Linked DNA regions of Neodiprion lecontei. The protein of the gene in region 1 binds, or shares a complex with, the protein of each later gene. Links are inferred from orthologs where the notes say so. Each region holds a gene or a part of one and is shown in the gene's direction. Other genes may lie near its edges.

The links.
Region 2: 26S proteasome regulatory subunit 6A-B (region 1) and proteasomal ubiquitin receptor ADRM1 homolog share a complex: the UniProt entries of both Caenorhabditis elegans proteins name them as parts of the 19S proteasome regulatory particle complex. The link is inferred for Neodiprion lecontei from reciprocal best matches to the Caenorhabditis elegans genes rpt-5 and rpn-13.

Annotation. Positions count from the first base shown.
Region 1 is NC_060266.1:23,076,782-23,081,140, forward strand, and holds 26S proteasome regulatory subunit 6A-B, read left to right. Parts: upstream 1-1,624; 5' UTR 1,625-1,798; coding exon 1,799-1,840; intron 1,841-2,045; coding exon 2,046-3,179; intron 3,180-3,263; coding exon 3,264-3,374; 3' UTR 3,375-3,558; downstream 3,559-4,359. Other genes in the region: RNA-binding protein 8A, read right to left, coding at 3,715-3,745, 3,845-4,106, 4,190-4,336. UniProt on the Caenorhabditis elegans protein: Component of the 26S proteasome, a multiprotein complex involved in the ATP-dependent degradation of ubiquitinated proteins.
Region 2 is NC_060264.1:19,749,595-19,754,583, reverse strand, and holds the start of proteasomal ubiquitin receptor ADRM1 homolog, read left to right. Parts: upstream 1-1,869; 5' UTR 1,870-2,055; coding exon 2,056-2,256; intron 2,257-3,686; coding exon 3,687-3,803; intron 3,804-4,189; coding exon 4,190-4,538; intron 4,539-4,989. UniProt on the Caenorhabditis elegans protein: May function as a proteasomal ubiquitin receptor. May promote the deubiquitinating activity associated with the 26S proteasome.

The DNA of each region.
Region 1 (4,359 bases):
ACGACCCGTTCAGCTTCGGTATTCTATTTTTCACTATCAGTTGCTAGGGTGACTTTACTCAGACATTCGCAGAGTTCCAGAAATTTAGCCGCTGTTCATTTCTGTAATTAGGTGAAAGACGCAACATTTTGTTAACGTTTCATTTTCATAATTCGTATACGTAATATTCATACATGCACGATTTTAGATGATATATTGCGACAAATTTTGAAAATGATCTCAAATATTTCGTACCTGTTATTTTTCGTGATAAATTGATCTCTTCAGCTATGGCATGATGTTTCCAGCAACCATTGGCAGTCTCTGTCAATTCAGATAATCATTAGCGTCGATCAACGTTGTTACGGTTCATTTCTGTAATCAAAAAGATACCGTAATATTTGGTTAGTAATGCAACTTCAAATTTGATGTACGCAGTATTCAAGATTTACTACAATTTTTAAAAAGTATACAATTCGGAATAAATAACCATTAAAGATTTACAGATTCTTGCGTTGTCCGATCGCTTCGTGATTGTTAGATATACGGTACAATTCTAAAACTAGACCCAAGATATTGGCAAGATCAATTAGCACTCGAAATTTGAAAATAAACAACGCCATCATAGACGAACTTTTGATGTATGCACATTACTACAATAAAGGATTACAGCATCGACCCCCAAGGCAGTAATTCGGAGAAACACGGTGCAGTAGTAAACAAAAGTCGACTTTTGTTTTGGAACAGTATCAACACGACGCGTAAACACATCTTATCCTTAAGCTCGACCGAATCAAACTCGTCTTGTCCGCCAACGTTGGAATCAATTTTATCGAATGTTTGAGAAACGACGCTGCAGCGAACCAAGGGGTTGTAAATGCGTTACAATTCCACTTCACAGACGTGTATCCATGCGACAAACGCGAATTGCGTTTCAAAATCTGATACGCGGACTCGAACTGAGCATACGCCAATTCGTAAATTTCGTTTTATACGAGATTGAGCTGAGTGGCGTTATCGTAACGAAACAATGGCGAAAACATACCTATTTTCTCAATTTTACAATGACTTTGAAGGAATTAAGATTTCAGAATATGAGCCTATGTATGTCATACGTACTATTACGTTTCACTGAATTTTGAGCAATTCCAAAGTCGCAAAACAACAATTTTCCCTCAGTATAAACCGTTACGATAACGTTACTAACTTCAGTACGATTATTTTATCAACCGTTCGCATCACCCAATTCAATTGTTTTCTACGTCGTAATGTATCGAATTCTTCAAACTCGCAAAACAATTGAAAGTATGAAACTCACCTTAAATGTTCTCAGCCTGGTCTCTCTTCGAAACGTCGTTTTTTCTGTGCATCACACGCTGCTATTCCTGCATTATTCACTATTGGTGGAGGTACACTAATTGAACGACACGACACATCAATCTGAATAACGCGATTTAATAATATGAATTCTGGACCGTCGGCGAACACAATGCTTCTGCTCCTTCTACTCCGGCCGCTCGAAAGCGAGTGACGCCGTGAGTCCATCTAGACGGGGTTTGGCCGTGTTTGCGTTCTGTCTCTTTCTACAGCGGCGCCGCCTATGGATTGTTTTGAACACGAGTCCTCGCTCTACGTCGCTACTGGATTGAATGAGTTCGTGGAACGTCACTCCGCTTCGGCAATAATCATCGAACCAATCTGTTAATTGAAAAAAAATCGTAACAAACTATCGCCTTTCCACGGCGTTAGTGAAATAAAGAAACGGTTATTCCTCGTGTAAAATAACAGCGTCGAATCGAGTACCAAGTTGAGAATCCAAATGGCTACCTTGGAGGATAAATCTATTTGGGAGGATGGAGAGGTGAGTCGATTTTCCGTCGAAGTGTAAAATTTTTAAGGGTTATGTTGACCCGAATGACACGACAATTCCGGCTCGCTTTACCCTTGGAAAGCGAAAATCTATCATGTGCTAAATTTTTGTTAAATTCTTGACATCACATAGCTACTAGTGGCTCCCATAACCGAATAACATCACCAAATTTAATATCACTCTCATTCTCAAAAAGGAAACGCTGGGCGAAGATGTTCTGCGTATGTCCACGGACGAGATAGTTTCTCGTTCCCGTCTCCTGGACAACGAGATAAAAATAATGAAAAGCGACGTGATGAGAATATCGCACGAGCTCCAGGCGCAGAACGAGAAGATAAAGGAAAACACAGAGAAGATAAAAGTTAACAAAACACTGCCGTACCTTGTATCGAACGTCATAGAATTACTGGACGTGGATCCCCAGGACATGGGCGAGGAGGACGGAGCAGTTGTGGACCTAGATGCGCAGAGGAAGGGAAAATGCGCGGTGATAAAAACTTCAACTCGTCAAACATACTTTCTGCCTGTGATAGGACTGGTCGACGCCGAGTCACTCAAGCCCGGTGACCTGGTCGGCGTTAACAAAGACAGCTACCTCGTCCTGGAAACTCTACCCGCCGAGTATGATGCCAGAGTAAAAGCGATGGAGGTTGACGAACGGCCAACCGAACAATACTCTGACATCGGAGGTCTGGACAAGCAGATCCAGGAGCTTATAGAAGCCGTTGTCCTGCCCATGACTCACAAAGAGAAGTTCGAAAATTTGGGAATCCAGCCACCCAAAGGAGTGCTTCTTTATGGGCCACCTGGAACAGGAAAGACGCTTCTTGCTCGAGCCTGTGCTGCACAGACCAAATCCACCTTCCTCAAACTGGCTGGACCGCAGCTGGTTCAGATGTTCATTGGGGACGGTGCGAAGCTTGTACGAGACGCATTTTCACTGGCCAAAGAGAAGGCGCCAGCAATTATATTCATCGACGAACTCGACGCCATTGGCACGAAAAGATTCGACTCTGAAAAGGCTGGAGACAGAGAAGTCCAGAGAACTATGCTGGAGCTCCTTAATCAATTGGATGGCTTCAGCTCCAATGCCGATATTAAAGTTATTGCTGCCACTAACAGGGTCGATATACTTGATCCTGCGTTGCTCAGATCCGGGCGTTTAGATAGAAAAATAGAATTCCCCCACCCCAACGAAGAGGCTAGAGCTCGAATCATGCAGATACATTCACGGAAAATGAACATGTCACCAGATGTTAATTTTGAAGAACTTTCCAGGTCTACTGATGACTTTAACGGGGCTCAGTGCAAGGCTGTCTGCGTTGAGGCAGTAAGTCTTCGTTTTAACAAATTTATACTCCATTCTCGATTGCGCATTAACTCGTGATTTATTATCTCTTTGTGTCATTTACAGGGTATGATCGCTCTCAGACGCAATGCAACTGCCGTCACACACGAAGATTTGATGGAAGCTATCATGGAAGTACAGGCCAAAAAGAAGGCGAACCTTAACTACTATTCATAGATATCCCAAATTTGGCGTGTTTTGATCTTTTTTTTTTTTTTAAAATTAGGCTTATGAGCCAATTGTGAGCCTAACAATTTTTTTCATCACGATTTTTAATAGATTGTAAAAACCCGCAAATAAATCCGCATCCAATACATAAAACGTGTATAAAACTTGCTGAATAAAACTCTTTACGTATTTACGGTTGTGGAATTTTTATTTTTATTTTATAATATCAGTTAAAATACAAAATCATTCAGGCTTCGGTTTCGTGTTTTACACCTTACTTGATACAAGATAAGAAAACAAAATTATCGTGCTTTATTATTAATCGAAAGTAGAATAACTCTTCCTCGGTTTATCGCCTTCTGTGACTCCTCTTCTTAATCCTGAAATTAATTCCACAGATTTAAATGCGGATCGACCATTTTGACGGTGCCTGGTCAATAGATTACGAAAAATATATGTATACTATTTTTGTTTCTCACTTTTTTGGTCCTTTGACGAAACACCAATCGACAGTTATTGGCTGACCCAAGATTTCGGCACCGTTCAGAGCATCTTTTGCCGCTTGAGCCTCCTTAAATGTTTCGTACTCAACCAACGCGTATCCCTTGAGAAATCCAGTCCTCCGATCCAAATTCAAATGTAGATTTTTTATTTGACCAAACTCTGAGAACTTATCCTGTATATCGTCCTCTTGAGCTTCTTCGTGAACAGAGTTTATGAAGAGTATCCATCCCTCAACAGCTGGAAACACGGATATCAGGTAAATGACATTTAATATTTCAACAAGAGAACAAGACAAGGAGTAAGAACAAACAACGCTTTACATCTCTGCGGTCCCGGCTGATCGTCCTCGTCCTCGACAACGTTCATGGACTCGTAATGACCAACGTCATCTCTGGTGGAGACAAGTTCCGCACCGTGTCCTCTACCTTTCCTCTTCTTTGCTTTCTCCTTCAAACGGGCGATGCCCTCTGCAATAAATATTTACGATGGA
Region 2 (4,989 bases), on another chromosome or scaffold:
TGAGATCCCCAGTATTCAACCACACGGTACAGTATACCGTACGGTATCAAACGATATGCCAATTTCATGTATATACATAATACGTTACCATAAATTGTATGAAAATAAAATGGCATACTGATTAAAATCATGGAATGTTGTTCCACAACTGTACCAAATTTTTGCAATGTTTTCCGATGAATTTTTATTTCGAATTTCATTACGAAACACATGGCCGCATGATTAAAATTGTATCATAACAATTGCTTCTCTGTCCTGCCTTCGAAGATGACTTCCGTTCATAGGAAGATGAAATTAACGACTCGCGTCCCGCAAAACTACCACACAAAGCCCTACGTCTTTCATGCACTTGATATAAAAACTATCGTTAGTTGTTCTCAAAATTTCGCGGCCTCAAGAATCTACACACTATCAAAGCTGTAGGGTCAAGGTTAAGACCAAATTATCAGTTTTTCAAAAATCGAGAAGGCGCAAGAGGCTTGCAATGCAGTACGGCGAAATCGCATCCATGAAAATAGTACCACCTTCCATTTATAAATGAAATCATGGGCAAATCACTTGGTGAAAATAAAAACGAAACGTACTATAGTTAATAGCATGTTCAACATGGTTTCTCGTCGAATAGAGCGAGATATTTTCGAATTTAGTTCAGTGATTTAGTCTCGGTGTAAATACGTAAAGGTCTAATCGTAAGCGTCATTTGTTTATCTTTAAAAAAAACACACTCGCAGGCACACCGCCTGAAATGAAACTTAGGGTGAATTTTGAACTGTTCATTTGAAGATCACTTACCAAGGCCAGCACCACGGATCGAGTTCATTAAGAAAAAGTATTAAATTCAGCAGAAATTTGCACAAATTCATGACGCAAATGCGACTCGATTATGTATGTACGTTCGAACTCTACGGCGTCAGACGTCCCAGAATTCCCTGATTGTGAGTGTCCCGAAAGTAGCGCCGCAGCAGCGCCGCTTGAGGTAAGTTTTCAGAACTGATTATGGAGCACGGAGCATGTCGGTAGCGTATCGATACCGTCATAGCGTGTATCAGTGGTGTAATCGTTTCGAACTGGAGGTAGGCTACCCATTTCATCAACCTCGCGAAATATCGAAAACTGCAGCCAAAGTGATGAGATATATATATACATATATATATATATTCTGGTTGCTTCGCTCTGTCACTCAATCAGGTGTATAGCGAGACAAATTATAACCGACACATACCTTTCACTCTCACTTCTCCGCTATACTTTCTGTACACGCGAAGCTACCACCAGTAGTATATGCTCTTAGTATAATCCACTGTCAATAAATATAGTAAATATAGAGCGCTCGCCCACATTATATCACTCACTCGAAAGTTAGTTTCAAAAATCTAATTCGTGTCTCTTTGATGTTACTAAAGGTGCGTTCCGAAATTGGTTCTCATTGTCGTCAGTACTGTCAATGATCTTTTATTTCTTTTGCGGTTTCGAGTTCGTGTGTAGCTCTGCCTCTGTCCTGGGCAGTTTTTAGCGCCACCAGCTATTTTCAGAACGTTGGAATTTTATGAACAGCAAAACATAGCAGCAATAGCACTAATTCTCTGAAAGATCCTAGCACTTCTGGCAAAAGTTTTTCTCCTTGAAGTCCATTTATACTCTTTGTCCGTAGTAGCAAACGCAAGACATTTTAAGAGCAGCGCTGCTGCTGCATCAAATCACTAGACAGATGTTAGTAACATCTAGTAGGTTACTAAACTGCTGCTGCCTTTTGCTGCCCATGAAATCCCATTTTATAGTGGGGGACATGAAAAACACGTGAAAAACACGAGACTTCTCCGTGCGACGATGCAGCCCGTAAATTCCCTACAACAGTCCACCGAAGGAACCAGACTGCGCATCCTTTCTGAGATATGGCAGGCTTGATTAATCAGTGCAGCCACAACAAAATGCATTGTCATCGAGTTTATCTTTGCGTATAGTGTCGTGCTGTTGCCCGTAGAATCCAGATACGCTAGACCAGTGGCTTTATTGTAATTTATCATAAATCCAAGTGGTAAAAACGTGATAATAAGCATGTCGAGCGGTGCCCTATTCGGTAGCAACGCGACACGCGGCGCGAGCAAAAATCTGGTAGAATTTAAAGCCGGCAAAATGACCGTCAAGGGCAAAATGGTTTATCCAGACACTCGCAAGGGTCTTCTCTACGTCTTTCAGTCAGACGATTCCCTGATGCATTTTTGCTGGAAGGACAGAACCTCCGGAGTCGTCGAGGACGTGAGTATATAACGAGGTTGAATTCAATAACGTTGACCTGACGACACACCGATAATAAACATCACCAATTTAGAATTTCAGACAATGACTCTGAGAAAAGTTCTTCCAGTTTTCAGAATGTCAGATATGGTTCTCCTTATTATGGTGTATTGAGTTTTAGACCATCCTATAATTGAGAAATACTCAACGATTAATTCCCTCAAAATCCATCGTCACGTCATGCTGCGAATTTCAAACTCGTTAGTATCAATCCCAACATCATCAGACTTCAAATTGTATTCTTTCGATACTTATTGCTCGATATTGGAAGTCGGTCTTGCACTTGCTCATATACTGACAACCTCAACTGCCACGAATCACTTGTATGCCTGGACATCGGGTTTGTTTTTCAAGGCAGATCTTTTATTAACCTGTTGACGGCAGGGCCGGTCGATGTATCAACCAGTAGTCACGTTGGGGACTTCTAATAAGAAATTCATTAAACTTATTAACTAATTTTGCATCGAAGAAAAGGTTGATTGGAACTCATATTTCCATACCGTTAAAAGGTTAATTGGCTACTAAATATTAATCAGTTGGATGCTTCATTCTGTCATTTTCTTCTTCATCCCTGGCTTACGAAGCGCAGCGATTTTCTCAGAGCTGACATAACCCTTTTTAAGTGCTGATCAATTTTCATAGATCTGTTTTACACAATGATTTCCTAAAAGGTCTTTTTAACTTATGCTCATAGCAAGCTTTGTTTTAGCTATGATTTATCGATCGATTTGCTGCACTCTTCAAACTGTTACACAAATTCCCAGTCATTTCAAATTATTGTGACAATTTCAAGTTTTCATTTAATATTTTATAATACAAATTGCGCACTGCGCAACGCAACAAATAATTTGCACCAGGTGAGTATTTAATTCTAAATAAATGAATATTTTTGTTAGCTTTTTTATCATTGTCGTTCCGCTTTTCTGCACCAATTCAGAAGTTTATTTAATTGACATGAATATGAATAATTCAACAAGCAGATGAATATTTACTAGATTGTGTAATTGCGGTGTTGTAAATACAAATTAAAATGTGGAGGAAAATAATGTCTATACTTTTTCATATTTGATAAATATAGTTGCATAGGTATATTTAGATCTGTACATAATGGATGATGTTAGACATTGCCAAATGTGCTCTCTCAGCATGACAACAACTTTTGATATTATTATTGCCTAGTTTTCTTTCATCATTTTTATTATTTTCCTTTTATAATGCAACATTTTATTCAACTCTAGAAACATTTAGTCAGACATTCCCTTTCAAAAACAAGATCTAAATACAAAATGTGAGAAAAAAGTATCTATAATATATCGAAATATATGTCTAGAAATTTATACCTTGTTTGGATGCGTCGTCTCAAATTTGTTATGTTTTTCACTTTTTTTTAGGACTTGATCATCTTTCCAGATGACTGCGAGTTCAAACATGTACCCCAGTGCAAGACAGGCAGAGTGTATCATCTTCGCTTCAAATCGTCCAGCAGGAAATTCCTTTTCTGGCTCCAGGTTAATAGAAATATGCAGAGATTTCATTAACCTCTTCGATTATAACAAACGTTTTTCATTAGAAATTTACACCGAAAAACTAATTGATAATTGATTCATCGATTCGCAAACACCGAGAAAAAATACTTCACACATTCCAATAATGTTGAACACCTGTTTAACAACCTTTACTTGACATTTGTGTGATTGTGAGATTTTTTCAATCATTGTCCAATTTATATTAATCTTCTGTGATTCATTGAGTCGATACTTTAAGTGAAACATTCTTTTCGTTGGATTTTCACGGACCATGAATCTGAAAAATAATACTGCGAGTTGTGAAAAAAATTATTAAGCTGCCCTTGTTAAATTTTATTGTATAATCTTATTCTCCTTATCATATAAAGGATCTTAAAACGGACAAGGACGAAGAATATTCAAGAAAGATCAACGAGGTACTGAACAATCCTCCAACGCCGCCGACACCACGTATCGGAGGAGGAACTCCGGATGGAGATCTTCAAAACCTGTTGAACAACATGTCTCAGCAGCAGTTGATGCAACTTTTTGGAGGTGTCGGGCAAATTGGGGGACTGAGCAGCCTTCTTGGTACGATGACCAGGCCATCGACCGGTCAGAGTAGCACCAGAGCTTCAACGAATTCGTCTTCCACTCCCATGACGACAAGCGCGACGCGACCTCCAGCTGCTCAAACACCTGCACCTGCTGCAATCACAGAAACTCCGAGACCGTCGAGTGAGAAATGTTTAGCCTTTTAAGAGGGCTTGAGTTTTTGGAAAGGCGAAAATATTTTTTACGTTTTAAAGCAGAGAAATGAAAAATAATTAGGTCGTTTTTTATGCGATTGAAATTTGCAACGTTAATGTAACAAAGCATTTTTAGGAAATAAAATTATTGTTGTTACGCAATCTTGGGATTATCTGAAATTGATTAAATCACACAGAAGTAAACATACCAAGTTTGTAGTTTGAAAACTCAAACTTCTTCAAAGCCATATAAATATTGCCAAATGGTAATTTTTGTTTCAGTGTTTCGTCATATTAACGTTACTAACTTCATTCTCGTTATATTTTTATTCTTCGTTAGGTTTTATTCTTCGATTGATCAGAATTCAAAGCAAATACAACTGATTGAAAACTAATCAAATATATTATCTACACATCGCAAAATGCTGAAGTTCAATTCC